Mus musculus: one gene and its partners. The protein of the gene in region 4 interacts with the protein of the main gene of each other region in a biochemical or structural test. Links are inferred from orthologs where the notes say so. Each region holds a gene or a part of one and is shown on either strand. Other genes may lie near its edges.

Region 1 (3,500 bases), on a different chromosome or scaffold from region 4:
AGGCGTGGGAACTAGCACCTCCTGTGTCTTTCCTTGTAGAGTTAATTGGTTTTAGTTTAAAGACAGGGACAGGAAGCACACATTTCAAATACATGAGAATATAGTACAAGGATAATGAATTTCCACAAAACCATTGTCAGGCCATTTATGATGCTGTATCTTCTAGATTGTAATATGATTAACCGTCTTTGCAGCAATATTCCTCTGAGTATCATCTGTCACTTGTCAACTTTGTTAATTTTCTTGGCCTTGGCCTGCAGTTTAAATGATGTGTGCACAAGACTGTGTAGTCCATACATATTGGAGTGCATGTTGTGTGTGCAGAGGCCCAGCAGTGCCTCCCAACAGTTGCTCACCTCCTTACTATGTGAGACCTTCCCTCCCTTGAGGGGAAGTTAGTGGGTTCTTGTTTGTTGTCTGGCTGGCCAGGGGCCTCACTGGATAATACTGGAATTACAGGTAAGTGCATGTGTATATAGGGCATCAGACCCAGCTTCCCATGCTCTGTAGCAAGTGCTCTTAGACACTGAGCCATCCATCCCGAAGTCCTCACCCTGGGCTACGGTGTGAGAGCGCTTGCCTAGCCTGCACGAGACTTTGTGTTCCATTCCTAGAACCTTATATGGGGACAAAGTGACAAAGATCACTTCTATGATTTTAATGATGCTCCCTGTGTTTGGAATTTCTAGTCTACTTAGGCGTAGCTGTAATTGTGGTGAATTTTATTAATAAACCAGACTTAAAATGTGCTTAGTTGTACTAAAACACATTTTAAGACTTATTTTTATGTTTAACTCTGTATATGTCTGTGTGTAGATTATTTCATGAGTACAGGCACCTGCAGTTATAGGATTCCCAGAGCTAGAGTTACAGGTCCTGGGGACCAAACTTGGGTCTTCTGGAAAAATAGTACATGCTTATAACTACTGAGCTGTCTCTCCAGCCCTCACGGAAACCGTTTTTTATTTTCAGTTTCTCTCTACAATTTTAGATTATTAAGTGTGTGATATGTTTGTGTGTACATGTATGTGCGCATGTGTGAGCCCTGTTGTGCAGCATTGCCATAGTGCATGTGTGGAAAATCAGTTTTCTCCTCCACTGGGTTCTGGGGGTTAGAGTCAGGTTGCAGGATTTTGAAGCAAGCACTTTTATCCACCAAGCCGTTGCCAGCCCTACTTTCATTGTTTTTAGTAGAGTAATTTGATAATTATGATTTGTCCCTCCCTCTCGTAGTCGTCAGTGTGTCGATTTTCTTTCTCTGGTTATAGGTGCTACAAGTGTGACGAGGAAGTCAAGTACTGTAGCTCAAACCGATTGGGCCAAGTGGTTGATTATGTTAGAAAACAAGCTGGCGTAAGAACTTCAAAACCAGGTAAAAACCCAAACCAATATGTTTCTTACTAGATATAACAATGTTGGATTTGTATAGCTGCTTTTATATACTGATTCCTTTACCAGCCCCACCTCCCTATTTTTTTTTCTTTTCTTTTGAGACAGGTCTTTATATGTAGCACTGGCTATCCTGGAACTTGCTATGTAGACCAAGCTGGCCTTGAGCTCACAGAGAATCCTTCTGTCTCTGCCTCTTAGGTTCTGGGATTTAAGGCATGCAACACCATGTCCAGCCAGCCATTCATGTACTTTGTGAGATCAGATCTGTCGGTAGATCAGGTTGCCCTTGAGTTTGTGAGTCAGTTGTCTCAGCCTTCTGATTACCAGGCTTACAGGGGCCTGACCCACACCTGGTTAATAACCTTACCTCCAGTATTACACATAGCAGGTAATATTAGTTGTGACTTGTTTTATTTTTGGTGGTACAATTAAATAGGATGTGAGAAATGATCTAGCCATATGTGATAAAGGGCCTGGACTAAGGTCACTAAAGGTCAAAGGCTTCTTCTCATGACTCCAGCCTAGAGCTATAGACATTATTATAGACATTGTACATGCATGTATGTGTCTGTGTCTGTTAGAGAGAGAGGGAGAGAGAGAGAATTAGAAGGATTTTCTTTTTCTGATTTTCTTTTATATTGCAAATAGTTTTTAATACAATATATTCTGATTATCGTTTCTCCACTCCCAAGCCTCAACCCCTCTCAGAGTCTCTTCCTAGCTCCTCCCATACAAATCTATACCCTTTCTCTATCCTTAGAAAACAAACTAGAATCTAAAGAGGACTACGATAAGACAAAACCAAACTGGAATAGGACAAACAAAACAAACAAACAAAAAATCTAGCCAAAGGACAAGCACAAGAACCACATTGAGAGACAGAGATGCCCGCACACACAGAGACACACTTGCCCGCACACACAGAAACTAGAAATCATAGTGAGTACTCAAAGGACCTGCCAGTGCGGGAGGAAAGGCTCTCATAAAGCATTAGAAGACAACCTTCAGGAGGATTATTTTGTGTTGGTCATTTACTGCTGGGCATGGGGCCTGCCTTTTTGTTTTCCCAGTGAGGCTGAGTTTCTCATTTTCAAGTGGTTACCAATTGGAGATAGCTACTGGGTTAAGGATTGGGTCATGTGTCTACTTCTACTATGAGAACTGGGACCCCATCTGGTGCAGACCTATCCACTCCCTGTGCTCTGGAATCTCAGGAGATTTGGGTGCCTAAAGGTTGCCTCATAGGGAGTGCGTTGAGACCCTGTCAGGTCTGGCCACGTTGGATCCTAAGTAGAAAGTGTTTCTAGATACTGGGAGTTGACACAAAGAAATAGGGAGGGGCTAACAAGGAAGGATACTGAGAGGGTCCACAAGAGGGAGGGAAGCTGGGTGTGCTATGAAGGTCTGCATGGTCCCCTGGGAATGGGGGGAGAGACGGGAGAGATTACAGCAGATGGTTTACTAAAAGCTGGGGACAAGATGGAATTGGGATTTGAAACTGAAAGACAGCTTGGAGAGTGAAGAGCACCTACCTGGTTCCCTGACTGTCTTGTCCAGTGGATTTCCAGGGAGTGCCTCCTGCTATTGACAGGCTAAGACAAAGGGATGGGGTCGGGGAGGAAAGCTGTAGATCTGCCCAGGCCCCTGGGAATGGAGGTAGACAGGAAAGAGGCTGTAGCAGATAGATGGTCTACAAAGCTGGAGATAAGATTAGGGGATGGCAGTGGAGAACTGGAAGGTGAGTGAGGATTGCTTACCTCATTCCTGGCCTGGCCTGTGTGGGCAGCAGGTTTTGCGGAATGTCTATACAGACTTAACTATACTATAGTGTGATATATTCATAATTGAGAAAATTCAGTCTCTCTGTTAAATAAAATGAGCATACACACACGTTGATTTTTAAACAAAGGAATTTTGTTTTGGAGACTTGGTCTTTTCTAACTCTGGCTACACACAAGCCTGGAAGTCATATAACTCTGTCTGCCTATGCCTCCTGTCTTAGTCAGGGCTTCTATTCCTGCACAGACATCATGACCAAGAAGCAAGTTGGGGAGGAAAGGGTTTATTCAGCTTACATTTTCCACATTGCTGTTAATCACCAAAGGATG
Region 2 (4,116 bases), on a different chromosome or scaffold from region 4:
ACACAGCAATAATTTGTATCTATAAAAAAGGCAGAATGAGCAAGAGTGCTGTCTGAAAGGACACTTAATAAGTGACCAGATTTTGGGGGGTGGGGGGTAGAAAAATGACAGAAGGAAAAAGGAGGGAGTTCAGGTCTGTGCCTGGAGACTGTGTGGATGTTGCCATCATGCACTGAACTAGGGACAGCTCAGAGAAAAATCTGAAAGAGGGAAGCTGATACAGTGATGCTGAGGTACTTGTGAGACACAGAAGTGCTGGTAGGTTCTAGTTAGAGTTCTGATCGGAAGCTCACAGACACAGGTCAGTGAGGGTTTAGGGAAATAAAAACAAGTGTTAGGTTGAATTTGAGAGTTAGGTTTGTACATTAGAATGGCAGGGTAGCAAAACATCAACTTGACAGAAATTAAGTCAGGAGAGATGCCAGGCTTGGAGATATCACTAGGAATGGCCACTGAGCACAACTCTTATGGCAAAACACATTTCCTCAAGGAGGGTTCAAAAACATTCAGAAAAGGAAGATGAGAAGAAATAATAGTTGAAAGAAAACCAAATTGCAATGCTTGGTTTTCGTATCTAGCTTTCAGTAAATGCTTAAAACTGGTATGTTTCAAACTAATCTTCAAGAGTTCCTTAAATGCTACTGTCCCCTGTAACACAAAATACCTCAAGGGGCACTCGGCACACTAAACTCAACATGATTCAAACTCCAGCATTACAGGGCACCATTCCACATAATGTCAGTGATGCTCCAGAAGCAGTGGCTGACATGAGGACCCTCCTAATCCTGCTTGCATGCTGCATAGAAAGAAAGAAAGAAAGAAAGAAAGAAAGAAAGAAAGAAAGAAAGAAAGAAAGAAAGAAAGGAAGAAAGGAGAGAGAGGGATGGAGGGAAGGAGGAGAGGAAGAGGAAGGGGAGTGGAGGAGAAGGGAAGGGAAAAGAAAAAGGGGAAGAGGGGAAAAGGGGAAAGGGAAGGGAAGGGAAGGAAAGAAAAGACAGGACATGACTGCTCCTAAGTATGGCGGAGAAGAAAGTTCATTGTAGATAAAAGGGAGAGCATATGCAATGGTGGGGAACATCCAGAGAGAATATGACCCTGAACTGGGCCATGTAAAGAGAATGCAGAGAGAAGCTGCAACAGAGAGAGGCTGCCTGGGCCAAGAGACAGGCCAATAGAGTAAAGGACAGACCAAAAGGGCCAGATAGCCAAAATGGCTGAATTATATAGAGAAGGGCAGCTGGGGGAAGGGCAGACTAACTTCAGGGCTAAAGAAAATAGGGTAGGAGGCAGGGTATGCCAGCCATACCCTGCAACAGGCAAGACTGAAGGATGCTTTAAGAACCTGGAGGCCAGTTCCACTGTAATACAGCACCTCAGGTAATCATTTGTCTCTCCTTTGAGACCTAACATACGAGGTTAACATTACAACATGCCACCAGTAGTCTCAAGTGTCAAGAAAATGGTACAAGAAAAAGGGATGAAAAACTAAACACAACCAGGAAAGTTAAAACGAACCCTTGAGAGAGGCACAGAGCCAATGCTTTCAGGTGACGGTCACTGAACACCAGGTGAATTCCTTTATGAACTCCAAACTGCCCTCGCCCACTGAGGTCACCGATTCTCAAACATCACAAGCACTTGCTCAAGTCTGATATATCACACTGGTGTAGAGTTATTGCTATCTCAGGCTATCCACGTAACTTTTGAACTTTTGAGAAAATATTTATGTGAAGTTAACTACCCCTCATTTTCATCACATTTTAAGAACTCACTGGCTATTTTAAAATGCTTCTTATTCTGGTGCCTTATAGAGGAGGACTGGCAGTCTACAGTGGAGCAGCCCTCCTGTCAAATGAACTATATGGGCTGAAAATGGAGCAGTACTAGTAATAGTATGTACTTCAGCAGAATTCTAACGAAGTCGCTGACAAGTTACAAGTAATGTACCTGGCTTCTACAGGAGGTCCTATCTGGCCCCCATTACTTAAAAGGAGGGATACCGCGTCCTCCTAAAGGCACGTGTCAAATCAGGTTCAGTTTAAAATCACACTGCCCGTCCTTGCAGGCACTGGCATGACACCCCTAACTGGGTCTTCACTACATTATCCTAACACAGCAAAGAAAACATCTGCCGAGCATTCTCCATATGCTAAAACATCTCTCAGAATTATTTCATTCGATGCTTACAACAGTAAGATCGACAAGTGATTCTTGGTTTCCAAGCAAGCGGAGCCTTGCTTGGAAATGCCTCAAATGCCTTGATCACGGTCAGAGTGACAGTAAACAGGAAGAGCAAAAGCAAAAGGCAAACATGACTTGTCCAACTCTAAAATCTGGATCCTTTAGGGTAAGCTGCCTTTCCCCCAAGTTTTCAACAACTTGCTCTGAGAAGGAGGAATCAAACGACTGGACCAGGTCGCTAGCGGGCGCAGGACTAAATTAGACGCCAGTGTTCAAGATGCTGTGAGGCGCCTGAGACAGCGCGAATGCAGGTAGGAATCCGAATTAAACACTGTCCATCGCAGCCCAGAAAGTGGAGATAAACAGTGCAACCTGGGGCACCGGGTCCACTCCCGGACCCGGCCGACTTCCGGCTGGGAGCACCCCGGGTCCCGACGCCGTCCACACGGACCCTCGGCCAACCGCATCCTCCGACCCTTGCCTAGCACAGCCCGGCCCGCAGGACCCCGCTCCGCGCCTCACCCCGGCTGTGCAGCCGCCGCAACATCTCCTTCCACATCCACATCCGCCTCCTCCGCCTCCATGACTGCACCTGACGCAGGCGTACTCGCGAGATCCCGCGAGATGCGGCGGGGCGGGACCGGGGGCGGGCCCAGGGCCGGAGGCGGGGCCTTGGCGTGGCGCACTTCCGGGGAACTCCGGCGAGTAAGACCAGGAGACTGCGTGAAAGCTGCTTCCCCAAGGACCGCATGGGTTATCTCACTTCTCTCACGTCTTACGTGGGCTAACTCACAGCAGATCTTTTTCCATTCAGGCGAGAGACCCTGCTTTGTGGCATCCATTGTCTCTGGTTCATTTTCGCACACACACACACGCGCGCGCGCGCCTACCCGCCCCGCCCGCCACCGTGAATTATTAGAATGACCCAGTGGAATGGATGCAGGTTTCACGGATTTTATTTTATGGATAAGTAAATAGACTCAGAAAACTGACGTGATTGTTCAAACAGAGAGCTTGGTAGATTGATCTTTTAAACTCTGCCCTGAGTGTTTGCCATATACATACAAATCATTGCTGGGAATCTGTGAAGCAAAGAACTTAACGGTTTTCCAAGAAATCAGAGTCTTGCTTCTGCATTTTTCTGCCCTCAAATCTGTCTCTCATACAGTTAGAATCCATGACTCATTGTCTTCTCGATCAGACTGTGACTTCTTTAAGGATAAAACCTGTCTGGTAGTCCTTACACTGCCTGCGTTCAGCACAGTGTCTCACGTAGTAGAAGCTGTGTTGGACAGGTAAGTGTATTGGGAACCAGCAAAATAAACCTGATTTGTTGTTGTTTTGTTTTGATTTTTTGAAATAGGGTTTCTCTGTATAGCCCTGGCTGTTCTGGAACTCACTCTGTTGACCAGGCTGGCCTTGAACTCAGAAATCCACCTGCCTCTGCCTCCCAAGTGCTGGGATTAAAGGCATGCGCCACCACGCCCCGCAAAATAAACTTGTTCTTTTTTTTTTTTTTAAGTACTACCATGTCGTTTTCAGGCTTCATTTAATCATAGGGGTAAACTAAATTCAAGGTCCCAGGCCCTGGGGGAGCTTCTGTTGTAAGGAGACAGCTATTTGAGCCCAGCCATCTCAGAGACAACTTAGAAGGAGACAATTGTCTGCGTCCAGTCATCTCAGGGAAAGTTGTAAGGAGACAGCAGTTTGAGTCCAGCCATCTCAAGGACACTCTCCAGCTTGCTGTAGGGTCAAACTAAGTTCTTGTTCCCAGGCCCAGGAACCAGCTCCTATTCTGATTGGTGGAAATTCGCATGCTCAACCCTTTATGGTCAAAATATGATTGGCCGAAGCTACAGCCTACCCTGCTTGCCCTCCCTTACTTTATGGTTTCATCCTTTAAATATGCTATGTAATTCCCCTAAAAAGTCACTC
Region 3 (2,927 bases), on a different chromosome or scaffold from region 4:
TAGCTTCTTGCTGTACAAACGTAGCTAGACCAAAACGAACATTTGTGCATGATAAAGTGTATGAGTTAAAGATGCAGATCTGGTACTCTGTTGAAGACAAAAAAATGAGTGACTAATAGATCATTTCTAAGGACTTTCTCCAAAAGTCAAGATGGGCTAGATAGGTAGAAAAACTGAACAGCTGGCTCACCACCTGACACCACTCCCTTTAACTGTTTACCAAGTAAGTACTTGAAATGTTTTCAAATGGATGAAGAAAACAGCTAAGAATAAATATGGTGCGGACATACCCAGGATAGTGTTTAGTGAAATAGTTGAGCCCCTCTCACAAGTAATTGCTTATTTACTGTCCAAGTCACCGAAGGAAAGAGTAATGGAGCTAAATACATGGCAGAAGCATCACACATGTCTCACCCAAGTGGCCTGGAACTCACCATATAATAGCAGGCTCAAAACCATGGCCCTCCCCAGCCTCCCAAGGATGTAAATAGGTTATGTGCCACCATGCTAAGCTTAATAAATTAGTATTTTTATTTTAATTATGTAAGCGTCTGTTTGTGTGACTGTCAGTGTCTGATTTAGTCAGAAGCTTTGGAACCCCAGGAGCTGAAGTTACAGGCAGCTGGGAACTGTCTGAAGTGAGAGCTGGGAACAGAGACTGGGTTCTTGCAGAAACAGTACATGCAGTAACCACTGAACCATCTTTTCAGCCCTCTGGAGTAACGACTTCTAAAGGGAAGTATCAGTTCTTATCCATCCCAGTTTTCAACTTTGCTTGTAAACAGAAGACATGGTCACTCTGCAACCCAACGTTCCAGCAGAGAGGCTACCAGAGCACATCTCTAGGAGGCTGGTGTGGATGACAAGAAACTCAGGCTCACTGCAATTGCTGTTTCAACTACTAGAGAGACTGCACAAGTGGTTCAACAGAATTTACTTGTATATTTTCCATTTTCTATACTATTTGAAGGCATAGGATAGCTTTGTATTAGCTTTCTACAATACTGTGTTTTAAATCTATCCAGTAAACTAAGATGCAGTACAACTTGGATACAACTGAGGAGGTGAGAAGCAACTCGGCAGGCCCTGGTGCTCAACAGTTCCAGAATAAACAGGTAGCGCGCAGCTGCATTAAAAGGTAGTTTGCAAATATTCAAGTTACACCAAGATTCCTTCCAAATCTCTGCCTTGCTCAAACCAGCGCAACCGGCCATTGCTAATACTGCGGCACGGTGTTTGGTAAATGGTGATGGTTTTACTTTCTTTTTAATCAAAAGCCTGTGAAGGTGCTGCCACACAGCAGAGGAAGTCAGCTCTGCTCGTGGTGGAGGTGCCAATTGTGAAGTCACAAAAGGTACAGTTTACATGAGAAACGCACATTAACAAGTGGCCCAAATACAGAGCTGGACAGAACCAGACCAGTAAGTCTATAGTTACTCAACTGAACTTACAGAAGTACATTCAAAATAAAGCCGGAGATCAGAATTGGTTTTAGAATCGAATTTGCAGACTTTCTTGATAAACAGAAGAGTGACCTTCTGCAGTTGGAAATGAGGCTCTCACCTGGCAGAGACTTCGCAGTCCCTCTTGCACAGGTGAGGAAATAAGTGACAAAGTCTCTTGCACTGAAGTTATGTATTTTAACAGCTTTACACGTAATATTCATATATAAAAAACTTTAAGTGCTTTTCTCCAATTTAAAAATCTAAAGAATTCAAAAATAAGGCATTCAATATTTGAAAAAAGTACAGATTTACAAAATGTGTATATTCTGTCATGAAAACTCCACACCAACATTATACACTTGGAAAAAAATACAAACAGGATATATTACAAATTTATGCAGCAATAACTTAGTTCACACCATGCAATAAAAAGTACATTAATCAAGATACACAAGCTTTTGTAGGTTCTAAACTGAAGGACTTTTTCTTTTTTTCTCTGCAGAATCCTTAAAACCCGTGGCACTTAAAACTTGCTAGCCTTTCTACTGGGAGGTAAATTATACACAACAACGATGAAGGATGAGCAGACCAGGTGTCTATTATGAATCATTCCAGCTTTGCTCAACAATGGCCGAAACTCTCTTCTCATACTCCCGTTTGTTTTCCTGATAAAGCTGTGCTGCTTGGCTGTTGGCTGGACTGTTTGGATTCGGTTCATCCAGCAGAGACTGGGAGAGAGAAGGAGAGAAGAAAATGCTCTTCAGCTGTGTGCTATAGTAACAGGACTCAGATAAGGACAGAAAATTACACAAAACAGAATTACTTGGAAGTTCCAATGTCATCTTTCGGGTCACAAAACCTTCAGAAATTACATGAAGCAGGTTTCTGTTGCTAAAAAACATAAGCTTCCAAAATAGTTCTCAGTTGCCTTGAGATTTCCCATTTCAAGGAGATCAGCCAAAAACAGTATTCATTAGCATATAAGAACTTCCTCACCATTGAAGTAACAGCTTAATCTGGTTGAACTATAACACCTATAAATACCTTAGAAATTTAATTTCATGTATTTTGTACTGCTAGTAGTATCTCTCTCTATTTTTCTCTGTGTAGCCCTGGCCTCCCTCTGCCTCTGCTCTCCTACAACTAGGATTAAAAGTGTGCGCCACCACTTCCCAGCTCCCAGATCCACTATCATCAGGTTTTTGTGGTGCTCAGAAGTTGGGCATGCTGGATAAGTGTTCTACTACTAACCACTGTCCCCTGCCGCTAGGCCCAAACCTTATTCCTGTGGTTACTCACATACGCTTAGCAGGGAGGGAATAAAAGAGTAAAGTTCTGAGGTGGGAAGGAAAATACAGGGTAATGAGCAAGCTAAGGGTTAACAGTCACTCTTCTGGGGCTGGAGAGATGGCTCAGTGGTCAAGAGCACTGACTGCTCTTCCAAAGGTCCTGAGTTCAAATCCCAGCAGCCACATGGTGGCT
Region 4 (2,191 bases):
GAACCATAACCGACTTCTACCAAATCGGCAGCAACGTGGAACATTCGTGTTTGTAAATCAGTAAATTAGAGGGACACCACCCTAAGTACCCCGTAACCGCTGGTGCCCAGGACACAAGTAAAGGGACAGAGCGGTTTCAGTTGTAGATGGCTGGTACCCAGCATTCGCCGACACAGTCTTAGCTGTGTCCTGGAGCCCTCTATTCGCCAGGGTAAGGAAACCATCTCACTTTAAGTCGACAAGTAAATGGTACCCCAAAAGCCTAGAACACGGAAACCGGGCCCAGAGACCCACCTCCATTATCCTAGTCTAAAAAGAACTCCAAGAAGCTAAGTAGGGTGCAGCAAACTGCAAACAGATACCCACAGGGGAACTCAAAACCACAAAGGCTTAAAACTTCTGAAGTGTACCCTTTTCAAGACCCTTGGAGTAACTTTGGAATAGGAACTAGAAACTAATGCAAGTGGCAAAGCTCTCTTCTGATTTGAGCGGGTGACTCACTAAAAGAGACTTTAAAAGATCAAAGGGGCCAGCGAGCGCCTCATCCAGGGAGGCCTCTACTTGGCGCTGGTGTACTTGGTGACGGCCTTGGTGCCCTCCGACACGGCGTGCTTGGCCAGTTCTCCGGGCAGTAGAAGGCGCACCGACGTCTGGATCTCCCGCGATGTGATTGTAGACCGCTTGTTGTAATGCGCCAGGCGAGAAGCCTCGTTTGCTATGCGCTCAAAGATGTCATTGACAAACGAGTTCATGATGCCCATGGCCTTGGACGAGATGCCGGTGTCCGGGTGCACCTGCTTCAGCACTTTGTACACATAGATGGAGTAGCTCTCCTTGCGGCTGCGCTTGCGCTTCTTGCCATCTTTCTTTTGCGCCTTGGTGACAGCCTTCTTGGAACCCTTCTTGGGAGCCGGGGCAGATTTGGCCAGTTCAGGCATGATTAAAAGCAAACAGTGGAAAACAGTCTAGTAAGTAGAAAATCAACCAGGGACCCGGAGGACTTGAGCCCTTTATGAACGCCTTATGCAAATTAGGTCTCAAAGTACTTTTAATTTCCATTGGCCCATACGCGAAACTTGCGTTTTCAGTACAAGCCTAAAATTTCAGATTTCATTGGACTTCTCAGGGGCCAAATAACCACCAATGAAAAGCTCCCTCCTCACCCCACCCCTAGGAGCGCCTATAAAGGCCTTAGAGACGAATCAACCTAGCTTTACAGAAGTTGTCACCTCGGTGTGTCCTACATTATACTCTAAGTTATGTCTGGCCGTGGCAAACAGGGAGGCAAGGCCCGCGCCAAGGCCAAGTCGCGGTCTTCCCGGGCCGGGCTACAGTTCCCGGTGGGGCGTGTGCACCGGCTGCTGCGCAAGGGCAACTACGCGGAGCGCGTGGGCGCCGGCGCGCCGGTATACATGGCGGCGGTGCTGGAGTACCTAACGGCCGAGATCCTGGAGCTGGCGGGCAACGCGGCCCGCGACAACAAGAAGACGCGCATCATCCCGCGCCATCTGCAGCTGGCCATCCGCAACGACGAGGAGCTCAACAAGCTGCTGGGCAAAGTGACGATCGCACAGGGCGGCGTCCTGCCCAACATCCAGGCCGTGCTGCTGCCCAAGAAGACCGAGAGCCACAAGGCTAAGAGCAAGTGAAACTCAACACGAATCCAAAAAGGCTCTTTTTAGAGCCACCAAATCTTTTACAAAGGAGCTAGCTAACGCGCCAGTTTGTGACCAGCCCTTTGGATGACACTTTGGTGGCTCTTAAAAGAGCCTTTTTGTGTGGAAAGGGATAATAGTTATTTGTTCTTTCCAGGCTTATGACTTTCCGTTTTCTTCGGAAGTAAGACAGCCTGAATATTGGGGAGGACCCCGCCCTGGGCGATGGTGACTCCCCCTAGTAACTTGTTGAGCTCCTCATCGTTCCTCACAGCTAGTTGCAGATGGCGCGGGATGATGCGCGTCTTCTTGTTGTCGCGGGCCGCGTTGCCCGCCAGCTCCAGGATCTCGGCCGTTAGGTACTCCAGCACCGCCGCCATGTACACCGGCGCGCCGGCGCCCACGCGCTCCGCGTAGTTGCCCTTGCGCAGCAGCCGGTGCACACGCCCCACCGGGAACTGCAGCCCGGCGCGGGACGACCGCGACTTCGCCTTGGCGCGGGCCTTGCCTCCTTGTTTGCCACGGCCAGACATGGC
Region 5 (4,184 bases), on a different chromosome or scaffold from region 4:
GCTCAGGATAGGACATAGCCAGGATAGAGACTGGAGACCCAATTTTGTCATGATGTGTGGCCAAGGAGAACGGGTCTGAGCGGATGCCATCCTATGCTGTGTGGCTAGGCAGGGCACCCACCCAGTCACCTGAATTGCCTTAGTCCCCTCTCTATCAGACTGGTCTAGAATGAGCCAATCTTGTCACCTCTTGTTCCCACATGCTTGTTCCCAGATTCAAATGGGAAGAAGATGTGGAACAACAGAGGCACAGAGATAGGTAATGGCTTCACTTCAAAAGTAAACTCTAAGCCAGGCGTGGTGGCGCATGCCTTTAATCCCAGCACTTGGGAGGCAGAGGCAGGCGGATTTCTGAGTTCAAGGCCAGCCTGGTCTACAAAGTGAGTTCCCGGACAGCCAAGGCTACACAGAGAAACCCTGTCTGGAAAAAACAAATAAACAAACAAAAAAAGTAAACTCTAGACTTCTCAGAGCACTGTGGTAGGAGGGGCTCTGGGGTGATATCCACACACCCAGAGGAAACTAATTAGTAACTATCTATCAGGGGGCTGAAAGAGGGTAGCGTTAGCTTGGGCCATGTACCTGCCATCCCCAGACTAGCACATACTAGCAAGTAGCTTCTGGGCCATGGGCAAATCTGCCAGGTAGACACCCAGATCCCAGAAGGCCCATGGAGGGAGAGGAGGGACCAATCCAGGAAGCCTTCCTGGAAAAAAGGGGACAACAGCAAGGACATGAATTTGGGGTAAAATCCCAGGAGGCCAGACTGAGCCTTACTTGGGGAAGTGAGTGAGGATGAGGGTCCTCTTCTCAGGCACCAGTTTGTCCTTTTCCACCCGAAATTTTTCCAGTAGCTGCCGGCGGGTGACAGTGAAAATGGACCGTAGAAGGCTTCGGCCAAACACGTGGGTGGTCTCGTAGCGGGGGAGGCTGTCGCAGCTCTGGGGCACGTGGCAGTAACAGAGCCATCTGGGGGAGGTGGAGCGGCAGGTGAGGGTGGAGACCGCCAGACTGGCTGTTCAAGCCTCCCCTGTAAGGCCCTGTCTGGGCTTACCTGGTATAATTGACTTTGTAGGTAGCGACATCCTCAGACTGGGACCGCTGCCGGAATTGAGCAGGGGTCTCCAGCTTCCAGTAGTTAAGGCAGAGCAGGAACATCTTTGAGAGCTCAAACATTGTCTGGCGCTCTCGGGGGGCCAGGTGGCTAAATTTGTACTGCACAAAGTTCAGTACACCCTGAGGAGTAAGGAGGGGACAAAATCAGGAGGAGGTGTGGACAGCCAACAGAGGCATGTCAAATAGGAGGGATTCTGTGAAGAGAACCTCTGACCCTTCCAACTTCCACACCCACTCTGAGGTCAGCAAACACCATGTCCCTTCCTTGAACCTCTCCCCTGTTCTCAGCTTGAGGAAATAAACCAGACTCTCCACCCTCTTAAGTCGCCTTTAATCTTGCTACATGCCCGCCCTACCTGTTCAATGTTAGGCTTCTCAAATGGGGGGCTGCCTAGAGACCCCTCCACCACTGGCCGTGTCATCTGCAGAATGCACTTCCGCAAGAGCTGTAAGGAAGAGGGATGGGCAGAAACAGGAGTAGCAGAGCTCAGAGAGCAGGATCCCCAACACACACCAAAGCTTCACCATCTTTACTCCATGAGAACTCACCTTGAAGAGGTAGAAATAGACTTGTTTGGTGTCTGTGTCCTCTTCCTTGTGAACAGACATGAACAGATTTTCTACATCTACTACCATTCCCAAGAGCCGGTTAATCTCGTCCTCTGACACATTCTCCAGGTGGGACACATGGTCCGCTGCAAGATGGTTACATTAGGGCTGGGAAGAACAGAAGAGCTCCACGGGGCTTGATTCCTGTACCTCCTCTAACTAGCCAGTGACACACCCTTGATTCTCCAATTCTTGACAGACAGGGAGACCCAGTGTTCTCAGTTCTCCCATCAGCCCTTGGTAGCTACCTGCTACCAAGGCAGATCTCCTTTTTTCCTTCCATGGGACATTCACATTTATTCCCTACCCAATATTTCCTTAGAAGGTCTCCAAGAAGCTCTGTGGTACTTATGTCACCCTGTTCAAACAGGACCTGGCTCCTGCCCTCCGCCCCAGCTCCAAAGGTGGTGCCTGCCTTACCCAAAGGGTGCTCACAGCTACGGCACAACTCGCTCAGGTTGGCAGCTGGCTGCTGGAGGTCCATGCGGGGTGCGGTGGGGGGCTTGGGGTTTTTCCAGCCATTACACTTGCAGGTTTCATTGGCCTGGAGGGGGAAGGTTCAGTTCCCTGATGCTGTCTGCATCCCAAGCGCAAGAGCGGCTCTATGGCTAGAGCTTCGCCCCCCATTCCTACCCCAGACCTTGGATGCCCCAAGCCCCGCCCCTTTTGCTCTAGGCCCCGCCCCCACCTTGCAAGCTGAGAAGACCCCTAGTTTCTCAAGCTTCTTGGCACGCGGCAGACCCCGGACTTGCGCCTTCCTCTGGCTAGCGCGCTGCTGCTGGCTCAGGCCAGGTCGAGCCGGATCCCCCCCACTTCCTACCCCGGCGCCCCCACTCCCTGTGCTCCCAGCTGGGGCTGCAGCTGGGGCAGGGGCTGGTGCCGGAGTCGGAGCCGGAGTGGAGGCTGAAGCCGGACTGGGCGCAGGAGTCGAAGTTGGGGCAGGGGCTGGGGAGTGAAGGGGCCGGGGCTGCGCTGCCGGGACCGGGTTTGGGGCCTGGGAAGGTTCCGCCATGGCCTCCCCCGCAGCGGAGCGGCGCCGCGCTCCCAGCCCTAGGGCCGCATGGGCAACCGGCGCACAGTGCGCAGGCGTCACGGCCCCGGCGCACGATGGGAGTCGTAGTCTTCCTTTGCCGCTTCCCATCCTTTGGCCTTCCATACTTTTTTTTTTCTTGGTTCCAGACAACCAAATGTCGCTTGGTTGAGCATCCTAGATTTGACCATTACTTCATTCTAATCTTTTTTAAGCCATCCGAGATAGTGACAATTACTATCCTCTTGGGAACAAGAGGCACCCCAGAACACTGGCCGTCTGGAGGATTTGTGGATGCTGCCCTTTTAAAGTCCATAGGTGGAAGAACAGGCCTGGGCCTGAGGTTGGCTCCCACATTGCAAAAGCCTGCCCTATTGTGGCTGCCGGCTAAGGCTTGCAGCTACAATAGAGATAAAATGTAACATTAATTCTACTATTTGTACTGTGGTGTTCACACTTATGAATTAACTTTGACAATCAGTTTTTGGGTTTTGTTTTGTTTTGTTTTATTTTGTTTTTTGAGACAGGGTTTCTCTGTGAAGCCCTGGCTGTCCTGGAACTCATTCTGTAGACCAGGCTGACCTCGAACTCAGAAATCCGCCTGGCTCTGCTTCCCAAGTGCTGGGATTAAAGGCATGCGCCATCACTGCCCAGTGACAATCAGCTTTTTCTATACTTGGGTTGCTGTTAAACAGAAACGGTTTTATTTTCAAAAGAACAAAGAGACATAGTTGTGGGCCATGCTGCTGTTGAATGTGTGTGTTCATGCACGGGCATTCGTGTGTGTGTGTGTGTGTGTGTGTTGGGAGTGGGCAGGAAAGGGGGGGGGGAGTGTGTTTGTGTGTGCTGAGAACTAAAGAACCAGAGAGACCAACACTGAAGATGCGGAGGGTAGGGGGTGGTCCCCTCTTCTGGCTCGCCTAGGCAGCTTTGAAGATGGAGAGGATTCCTGACCTCATACCCTTCCATCCTACCTCCATCTTTTTCCCTGCCCACTCCTTAATGGGGGGGTGGGGGTGGAGGAAAGCCAGAGAAATAGACAGTTTCTTCCCATTGTAGAGGTAGACTGTGAAAGGTCAGGGATAGTTCTTCCTGGAAGATCAGAAAGGCCCCCTCTTTTGGCTCAGTCCAGAGAACAATTTTCCTTGCCCCAGGCCCGATTCTTAAAAGGGCAGGGTAGGGCAGGGCCGGCAGGGCAGGGCAGGGCAGAGCAAGCCAGACCTTTTCAACCCCGTTGCTCAATCCCATCAGCTCCCAGGATGGAGCTGTAACCCCGCACATTCAGGTGATCCAGTTCCTTCATAGCCTCCTTCCTGCCCTCTGATGTGAGAGAAGGGCCCAGGGAGAAGCAGAAGCCGGTTCTGGACAAAAGCTGCAGCGCTTGCAAGGAAGATAAGACAGCGACTTGAGTGTTTTTGCCCTTCTGGAT
Region 6 (3,500 bases), on a different chromosome or scaffold from region 4:
AATGAACATGAGAGCCAATTTTTATTAATCATTCTTTTAATTTTTTTTTTTAAGAACTGAGATGCCCTTGCCTCTGACATGCTGGAATTAGGCTGTGCCATCATGCCAGGCATCTTTTTTTCAAATCTGCACAGCTTTAATACTCTAATATTTTCCAACAAAAATGAGGAAAAAGCAGTTCACTAATGACCAATTTAAAAAATCTAATGCTAACACAAAGGTATCAACAGTAAGAATAACAGAGAGCTAACAGAGAAACTAAAAACCTGAAAACAACTTCAATCAGGATGATTGCCCACGGACAAACTGGTGGTAAATATATAAACTCTCACTATACCATACAGGAATGTTCTTCTTAGTCCCTTTTTGGTCATGAACTATTTCACAAAGATTGAATGTGATAATATCTAATTTGAAGTCCCATCACTATCTTCCTAAAGCATTAAGTTAAATTGCTTTTAGAGGAAAAAAAAATTGCCAAGATAAACATAAAAAAAGTTTTAAAACTCGGAAGAAAAAATTCAAATGACAAAAATGTGGAAAAAGCCAAACACTGCATTAGGACAGTTTATTATGTTCACAGGAAATAAATGGAGCCAAGACACCAGAAGAGAATCTACTGAAACTACAGCTTGCTAAGTTGTCTTAACAAAAGATAGAAGCTCAACTTGACAAGATTCGTCTGGATCCCAGGGTAATGCAAGACAAACCCACACCATTTTCCATCTGTGCGCACATACAAGCATGTGTCTGAGCCAGTAAGCAGCGAGGATGGTAAAGCCAGGTGTTCGACAGCAGAGCGTAGTATCATTTTCTTACAATAATTTATTTGTTTCTAGACAAGATCAGTAAAAATATACCAATTCGCCCTCTCACACCAAGATGCCATGGAGGGAAAAGCTGTAAACTCTAAATATTTTCTGCCACTTAAAGGGATTAAAGAGAATGTTCTGCTACAAGAAGCCTGAAGTCCATGTTGGACCCAGTTTCTGATTACCCATTCAGTTCCAGGGATTCCCTACCTACCAATCCACCACTCAGCCCATGCCACTCTTAAACCCTTGCATTAACAATCTAGCAGTGGGGCTGTAGAGATGGCTCAGCAGGTAAGAGTGCTGCTGAAGGTCCTAAGTTCAAATCCCAGCAACCACACGGTGGCTCACAACCACTCGTAATGAGATCTAATACCCTCTTCTGGTCTGTCTGAAGTCAGCTACAGTGTACTTATGTATAATAATAAAATCTTTTTTTTTTCTTTTCTTTTCTTTTTTTTTGAGGCAGGGTTTCTCTGTATAGCCCTGGCTGTCCTGGAACTCACTCTGTAGACCAGGCTGGCCTCGAACTCAGAAATCTGCCTGCCTCTGCCTCCCGAGTGCTGGGATTAAAGGCGTGCGCCACCACACCCGGCTTTTTTTTTTTTAATAAATCTTTAAAAAAAACAAACAATCTAGCAGCTATTCTGTAACTAATTGATGTTGATACTTACCTGTTTTTTTTAAAGATTTATTTATTATATGTAAGTACACTGTAGCTGTCTTCAGACAGGCCAGAAGAGGGCATCAGATCTCATTATGGATGGTTGTGAGCCATCATGTGGTTGCTGGGATTTGAACTTGCGACCTTCAGAAGAGCAGCTGACCTTCAGAAGAGCAGTCTGCGCTCTTAACCGCTGAGCCATCTCTCCAGTCCGATACTTACCTATTTTAATTCAAAGGAAATGCTAAAATGCTTAGAATTAAAACTATGAAGGGAACTAATTAGTGTTATGGAAGATACCTGTGTGGACTCCTTACCCATTCATTTAAAAAAAAAAAGAGGGAAAAAAAAGGCTATAAAAGTTTTGGAAAGGGAAGTGGCACCTGAAGATGTACTGACCAAGGTGTTTTTATACCTGTAAAGATGCCACACTTAGAACACTGCAGTTATTGACAATGGAAACAATTCCCAAGGTTGTTTCCTACTAGCCGTCTTTTGTAGAAACACATTTGTAAATTCTTCCTTTGTAACCAAACCTCAGAGAGTAAGCAAGCTTGCTGAGCAGAATGTGAGACATCTCAGGATATTAGGACAGAAGAGCTAGCTTTGCAATACATCATTTCTGGATTATAGAACTCTTTCCCCATGCTTTGCTTGGTTATCTCTGAAACATTTGAACAATGCTTCTCTGGGACTTTCTATGCTGTACGGTATAGGCACTTTTAGATACATTACAATTATCTTGAGTAGAAGTTGGCATCTTTGTTCCATTAACTGAATCCTTCCATGTGTTTTTAAAGGGCTCCCAATAGTCACCTTTTGTGTTCCTCGGAGATTTTGAGTGATCTGCATTAGTTTGCTGTAGGGAGTTCCTATCTTTGGAATTCTTCCTTTGTCTATTCAGCAGCCTGTCTGGGGGTGAGGGTGTGCGTAGCTGGTACTGATCTGGGGATCCTTTCTGCCGGTTTGGCACCATTTGCTCTTTATCTACCTCTTTCTGAAGTTGTAATGCTAACAATCTGTCCTGCTCTTCTTGCTTATGTCTCTCAAAAAGCATATGTTCCAAATCTATCAGTTTTTGTGTAAAATTCACTTCTGTTTCTTCTTGATCTGAGGAGGATTCGATGAATATTTTCCTTCTTTTTGCAGAAAAACATGGATCCATGACTTCTTCAAATACAGATTCCTGGTTTTCTCTGTCGGAAATCTCTTCTTCAACTAGTAAGTGATACACTCTACTCTCTGTTGGAACTCTGTTGCCCCCAGTTAACTGGGGCACACCTGTCACAGAGTATTCTTCATTTTCTATTTTACTAGAAGAGTTAACTGCAGCTTCATTAGAGTAAAAAACTGTGGCTCTAGGTCCATCATCATTTACAATACATAAATCATCAGGACTGGTTGATACTGTTTCAACTTTTCCCTCAAGGGACTCTTTAGTGTCTCCTACACATAACTGTGGCCCGGGTATCCCTGCAGAAGACTCCGAACCTTGTTCTTGAGTTTCCAGGCAGGTCTGAGGAGAAAGTGTTGGTATATTTTTTTCAATTTCTGTGTCTTGCAACACAGGGCTCTTCGTGTCACTCCTATCAGTTTCCTGTAGAAAACAAAACTCCTGAGTATATATAGAGAAAACGTATAAGCCAGCTACACTCATCTCTTAGATGAATGGTCACTAGACACGATCACATATTACTAATGAGGGATTCTCATCACCACTGTACCCACCTTTTCTTTTTTTTTTTTGTTTTTGTTTTTTGTTTTTTGAGACAGGGTTTCTCTGTATAGCCCTGGCTGTCCTGGAACTCACTTTGTAGACCAGGCTGGCCTCAAACTCAGAAATCCGCCTGCCTCTGCCTCCGGAGTGCTGGGATTAAAGGTGTGCGCCACCATTGCCCAGCCATAATTCTTTCTTAACTTTATTTTTTTTACCTGGTGTGCCAAGTAAGATCAGGACAAGTCATTTCACTGACATGGAAACCTACAGTAGCTTTAATTATGTTTAACATATGGCCAATAGCTGG
Region 7 (2,742 bases), on a different chromosome or scaffold from region 4:
GGAGTTAGCCTTAATGACCAGGAGGTGGGAAGCCCAATGGAGACCCTGGTGTTTGACAGTGTCCCATGGAGAACTTGATGTTTTGACTCAGTCTGGTAAGAGAATTCTGAGAACACAGCAGAATTCCACTCTGAGTCGTCTCCTTCTTGAACACATCGCAGAAGCCAAGTGTCGGGTGGGTGTAGAAGAACAAGGACCTGCAGGGAAGCAGGCAAGGCTGAGAGAGTCTCCCACAGACCTGCTGTGCACTGCTCTGCGGTCCAGGGGCCCCAGACTTCCCACTCTCACAGACAACAAGAGGAAAACTTCATAGGCTGAGCTAACGCCCATGCCTCCCAGAAGGTCAGTGTGGCCTGGCTAGTGGTCATAGCTGACACTAATAGTTTAAGCTTCTTAAATTTTAGGCTAATATCGATGTCCCACTTTTGCAGCAAGGTGACACAAGGAGCTTTGCTGGGGCCCCGTGTGTGCGAATGACATGGAGAAGATGGAGGCAAAACTCAATGTCAACACTAAAGCATTTATTTGAATATCTTTACTTTTTACATATGATACATCCCAAATTTTACAATTGTCCACAGATATTAAAATTATAGCCAATTTATTAAACACATGATCTCCCCTGATATGGAAAGCATGGTATATAAACATTTCTACAACAAAAACATGCGGAACAAGTGGAAGTAAGACGTGTCGGTAGGGGGAGGACATGACATTGCCACAGTGTGAGGACTGCCATTCCCTGGGAAGTCACTGCCCAGACCCTGATGTTCCCAGGAGTGAAACACAGGGCCACCTCTGCTAATCCCAGGCTCCTGTGGAGTCAGGTGAGAAAGCAGATGTTTTCAGCCTGTTTAGAAGCAAGCTGTGCTCATGATTTTTTTTTTTTCCTTTTGGGTTGGTACCAGGGCTGAACCTAGGCCCTCAGTCACACTAGGCAAGTGTTCTAGCACTAGGCTCAAGTCTAGAGACGTTCCCATAACTTTACAGTTAAGCCTTGTGAACGGAAGGTGAAGAGCCAACAGAAGCTGAACTTAAAATCTAAAGAAACGGCATGTGCCAAAGGTCGAAAGCATCACCATCCACAGCCCAGTCTGACTATGCCAAGGGAAGGCGAGACAAAGGGAGAGCACGGAGTCTAGCTTGGGCTTCCATTACAAACTCTCTGTCCTGAGCCTGGGCCGCGCTGAAGAGCTAACTGAAGTCCATCCTTTGAAGGGGAGGCAGCTCCTCACATGATCCTGGAGACTGTGCTACCTGCATTTCTTTGAGCCTCTGGTCTGGATTTCTGACTCTCCTGAGACACGGAGGCATGGATAGAGCTGAGTGGATGTGATTTGAAAGGCTGAGTGAGAGGTTCTTTGATGGTTAGAGAAGCTGAAAGCCCCTTTCTGTTCCTGGAGACTGGAGTTCATCCCTCTGCTGAACCTGCTGTCACCATGTCTATGTGACTTCTCTGAATGTGACGGATATCCGTCAGACGAGGAAATAGGTGTGCGGTGTGCCAGAGCCGTAACTGTGGCACCAAGTAGCTATAGTTCTAGAAAGGCTGCTCTTAGAATAAAAAGAACAGGCGTTTGTGTGCACAGGCTGAGGAATGTCCTAGATCAACCAGCAGACAAGCAGCAACACATCTGATCCAGATGCGGGGCGGAGCGGGGCGGGGCGGGGCAGGGCAGGGCAGGGCAGGGCAGGGCAGGGCAGGGCAGGCAGCTCAAAACACTGCCTTCTGGATTTCGTTTGGTTTGAGACAGGGTCTCCTCAAGTTACCCACGCTGGCCGCAAGCTTGTAACACAGTTGGAGCTAGCCTTGAACTCCTAGTGCTGCCTAAGCATCCTGAGAGCTGGGATTGCAGGCTTGGAGCACTGTACTCAGCCGAGCTCTTACTTGTCTGCTGTGGTCTGCTTGAGGGTGCGCACATGCTCTCTGTTTAGCCTTGGAGCAGAAGGCTATAGTCTGAAAAACTAGGAGGTCCTTTACATTTCAAAAAGCCCTTTAATTGAGTAATGCTTTCAAAGCTAAAAGTCTTGACCAACCATCTACAGCCATGAAAAGCCGGCTGCTCTCCTGTTAGAGTCCCCAGCTCTCTAGGCCATAGGGGGAAGCGAGTCCTGTCTTCAAATTGACTTGCTTTGCTCTGGAGGTGAGGTCTAGTCCCAGAGCTGAACCGCATCCCAGTCTCAGGAACCATGGTGGGACATGTCCTCCTGACAGGCCCCAGGGCTCCTTTTGGCCTCTGGTGGACAGCCAGCAAGCTTGACACCATCAGCAATGTTGACTGGCTCAGGCTACTGCAGCTGAAGCAGGCAGCGTCCAAAGGAGCTAGACTCCGGTCTAGAAAGGGCTCTCAACCCAGGGGACGTCCGTCTAAGGGACACAGCAATAAAATCTGGCAGAAATGACTTTTATCAGTCCCTGGAGCCAGACTAGAAAAATAAAACTGGGAAGAAAAGCTTAAATAAAGAATTTATTTCAAAATAGATTCAGCCGAACTTATTTCCTGTTGTCTTTCTGGAAAAGCCAGCTGTGTTACAAAACTCCAAGTCAAGTTTTTAGTAGAGGAGCGATTATAAATGCTGCCAGTCAATTCCGACCAGGGTCTGGTTAGCCTCCTGCGCGTGTCCGATCTCCTCTGTGATACTATGCTGCTGCCAGAGCTTCTGGATCTTTCGAAACCGCTCTTGGCATAAATGTAAAGGATTTCCTCGTCTAGAAAGAGACACATGTCACTCACAGGCACA

The links.
Region 1: of the proteins of H2ac20 (region 4) and Usp16, one has a biochemical effect on the other in vitro, tested with the Homo sapiens proteins (2 studies listed by BioGRID). The link is inferred for Mus musculus from reciprocal best matches to the Homo sapiens genes H2AC20 and USP16.
Region 2: of the proteins of H2ac20 (region 4) and Mysm1, one has a biochemical effect on the other in vitro, tested with the Homo sapiens proteins (2 studies listed by BioGRID). The link is inferred for Mus musculus from reciprocal best matches to the Homo sapiens genes H2AC20 and MYSM1.
Region 3: of the proteins of H2ac20 (region 4) and Ube2b, one has a biochemical effect on the other in vitro, tested with the Homo sapiens proteins (2 studies listed by BioGRID, with this or other methods). The link is inferred for Mus musculus from reciprocal best matches to the Homo sapiens genes H2AC20 and UBE2B.
Region 5: of the proteins of H2ac20 (region 4) and Kat2a, one has a biochemical effect on the other in vitro, tested with the Homo sapiens proteins (2 studies listed by BioGRID). The link is inferred for Mus musculus from reciprocal best matches to the Homo sapiens genes H2AC20 and KAT2A.
Region 6: of the proteins of H2ac20 (region 4) and Rnf168, one has a biochemical effect on the other in vitro, tested with the Homo sapiens proteins (4 studies listed by BioGRID, with this or other methods). The link is inferred for Mus musculus from reciprocal best matches to the Homo sapiens genes H2AC20 and RNF168.
Region 7: the proteins of H2ac20 (region 4) and Ubr2 form a complex in vitro, tested with the Homo sapiens proteins (2 studies listed by BioGRID, with this or other methods). The link is inferred for Mus musculus from reciprocal best matches to the Homo sapiens genes H2AC20 and UBR2.

The regions. Positions count from the first base shown.
Region 1 is NC_000082.6:87,464,985-87,468,484, forward strand, and holds part of Usp16 (ubiquitin carboxyl-terminal hydrolase 16), read left to right. Parts: intron 1-1,268; coding exon 1,269-1,372; intron 1,373-3,500. UniProt on the Homo sapiens protein: Specifically deubiquitinates 'Lys-120' of histone H2A (H2AK119Ub), a specific tag for epigenetic transcriptional repression, thereby acting as a coactivator.
Region 2 is NC_000070.6:94,976,301-94,980,416, forward strand, and holds the start of Mysm1 (histone H2A deubiquitinase MYSM1), read right to left. Parts: upstream 2,801-4,116; 5' UTR 2,766-2,800; coding exon 2,704-2,765; intron 1-2,703. UniProt on the Homo sapiens protein: Metalloprotease with deubiquitinase activity that plays important regulator roles in hematopoietic stem cell function, blood cell production and immune response.
Region 3 is NC_000077.6:51,984,638-51,987,564, forward strand, and holds the end of Ube2b (ubiquitin-conjugating enzyme E2 B), read right to left. Parts: intron 2,174-2,927; coding exon 2,045-2,173; 3' UTR 501-2,044; downstream 1-500. UniProt on the Homo sapiens protein: E2 ubiquitin-conjugating enzyme that accepts ubiquitin from the ubiquitin-activating enzyme E1 and transfers it to a E3 ubiquitin-protein ligase. In vitro catalyzes 'Lys-11'-, as well as 'Lys-48'- and 'Lys-63'-linked polyubiquitination.
Region 4 is NC_000069.6:96,219,913-96,222,103, reverse strand, and holds H2ac20 (histone H2A type 2-C), read left to right. Parts: upstream 1-1,223; 5' UTR 1,224-1,259; coding exon 1,260-1,649; 3' UTR 1,650-1,691; downstream 1,692-2,191. Other genes in the region: H2bc21 (histone H2B type 2-E), read right to left, coding at 558-938; H2ac21 (histone H2A type 2-B), read right to left, coding at 1,796-2,188. UniProt on the Homo sapiens protein: Core component of nucleosome. Nucleosomes wrap and compact DNA into chromatin, limiting DNA accessibility to the cellular machineries which require DNA as a template.
Region 5 is NC_000077.6:100,709,668-100,713,851, forward strand, and holds the start of Kat2a (histone acetyltransferase KAT2A), read right to left. Parts: upstream 2,801-4,184; 5' UTR 2,738-2,800; coding exon 2,414-2,737; intron 2,270-2,413; coding exon 2,146-2,269; intron 1,812-2,145; coding exon 1,666-1,811; intron 1,563-1,665; coding exon 1,473-1,562; intron 1,237-1,472; coding exon 1,055-1,236; intron 970-1,054; coding exon 778-969; exon of another isoform or gene 583-777; intron 1-582. UniProt on the Homo sapiens protein: Protein lysine acyltransferase that can act as a acetyltransferase, glutaryltransferase, succinyltransferase or malonyltransferase, depending on the context.
Region 6 is NC_000082.6:32,297,961-32,301,460, reverse strand, and holds the end of Rnf168 (E3 ubiquitin-protein ligase RNF168), read right to left. Parts: intron 3,074-3,500; coding exon 2,135-3,073; 3' UTR 19-2,134; downstream 1-18. UniProt on the Homo sapiens protein: E3 ubiquitin-protein ligase required for accumulation of repair proteins to sites of DNA damage. Acts with UBE2N/UBC13 to amplify the RNF8-dependent histone ubiquitination.
Region 7 is NC_000083.6:46,927,791-46,930,532, forward strand, and holds the end of Ubr2 (E3 ubiquitin-protein ligase UBR2), read right to left. Parts: intron 2,711-2,742; coding exon 2,569-2,710; 3' UTR 501-2,568; downstream 1-500. UniProt on the Homo sapiens protein: E3 ubiquitin-protein ligase which is a component of the N-end rule pathway.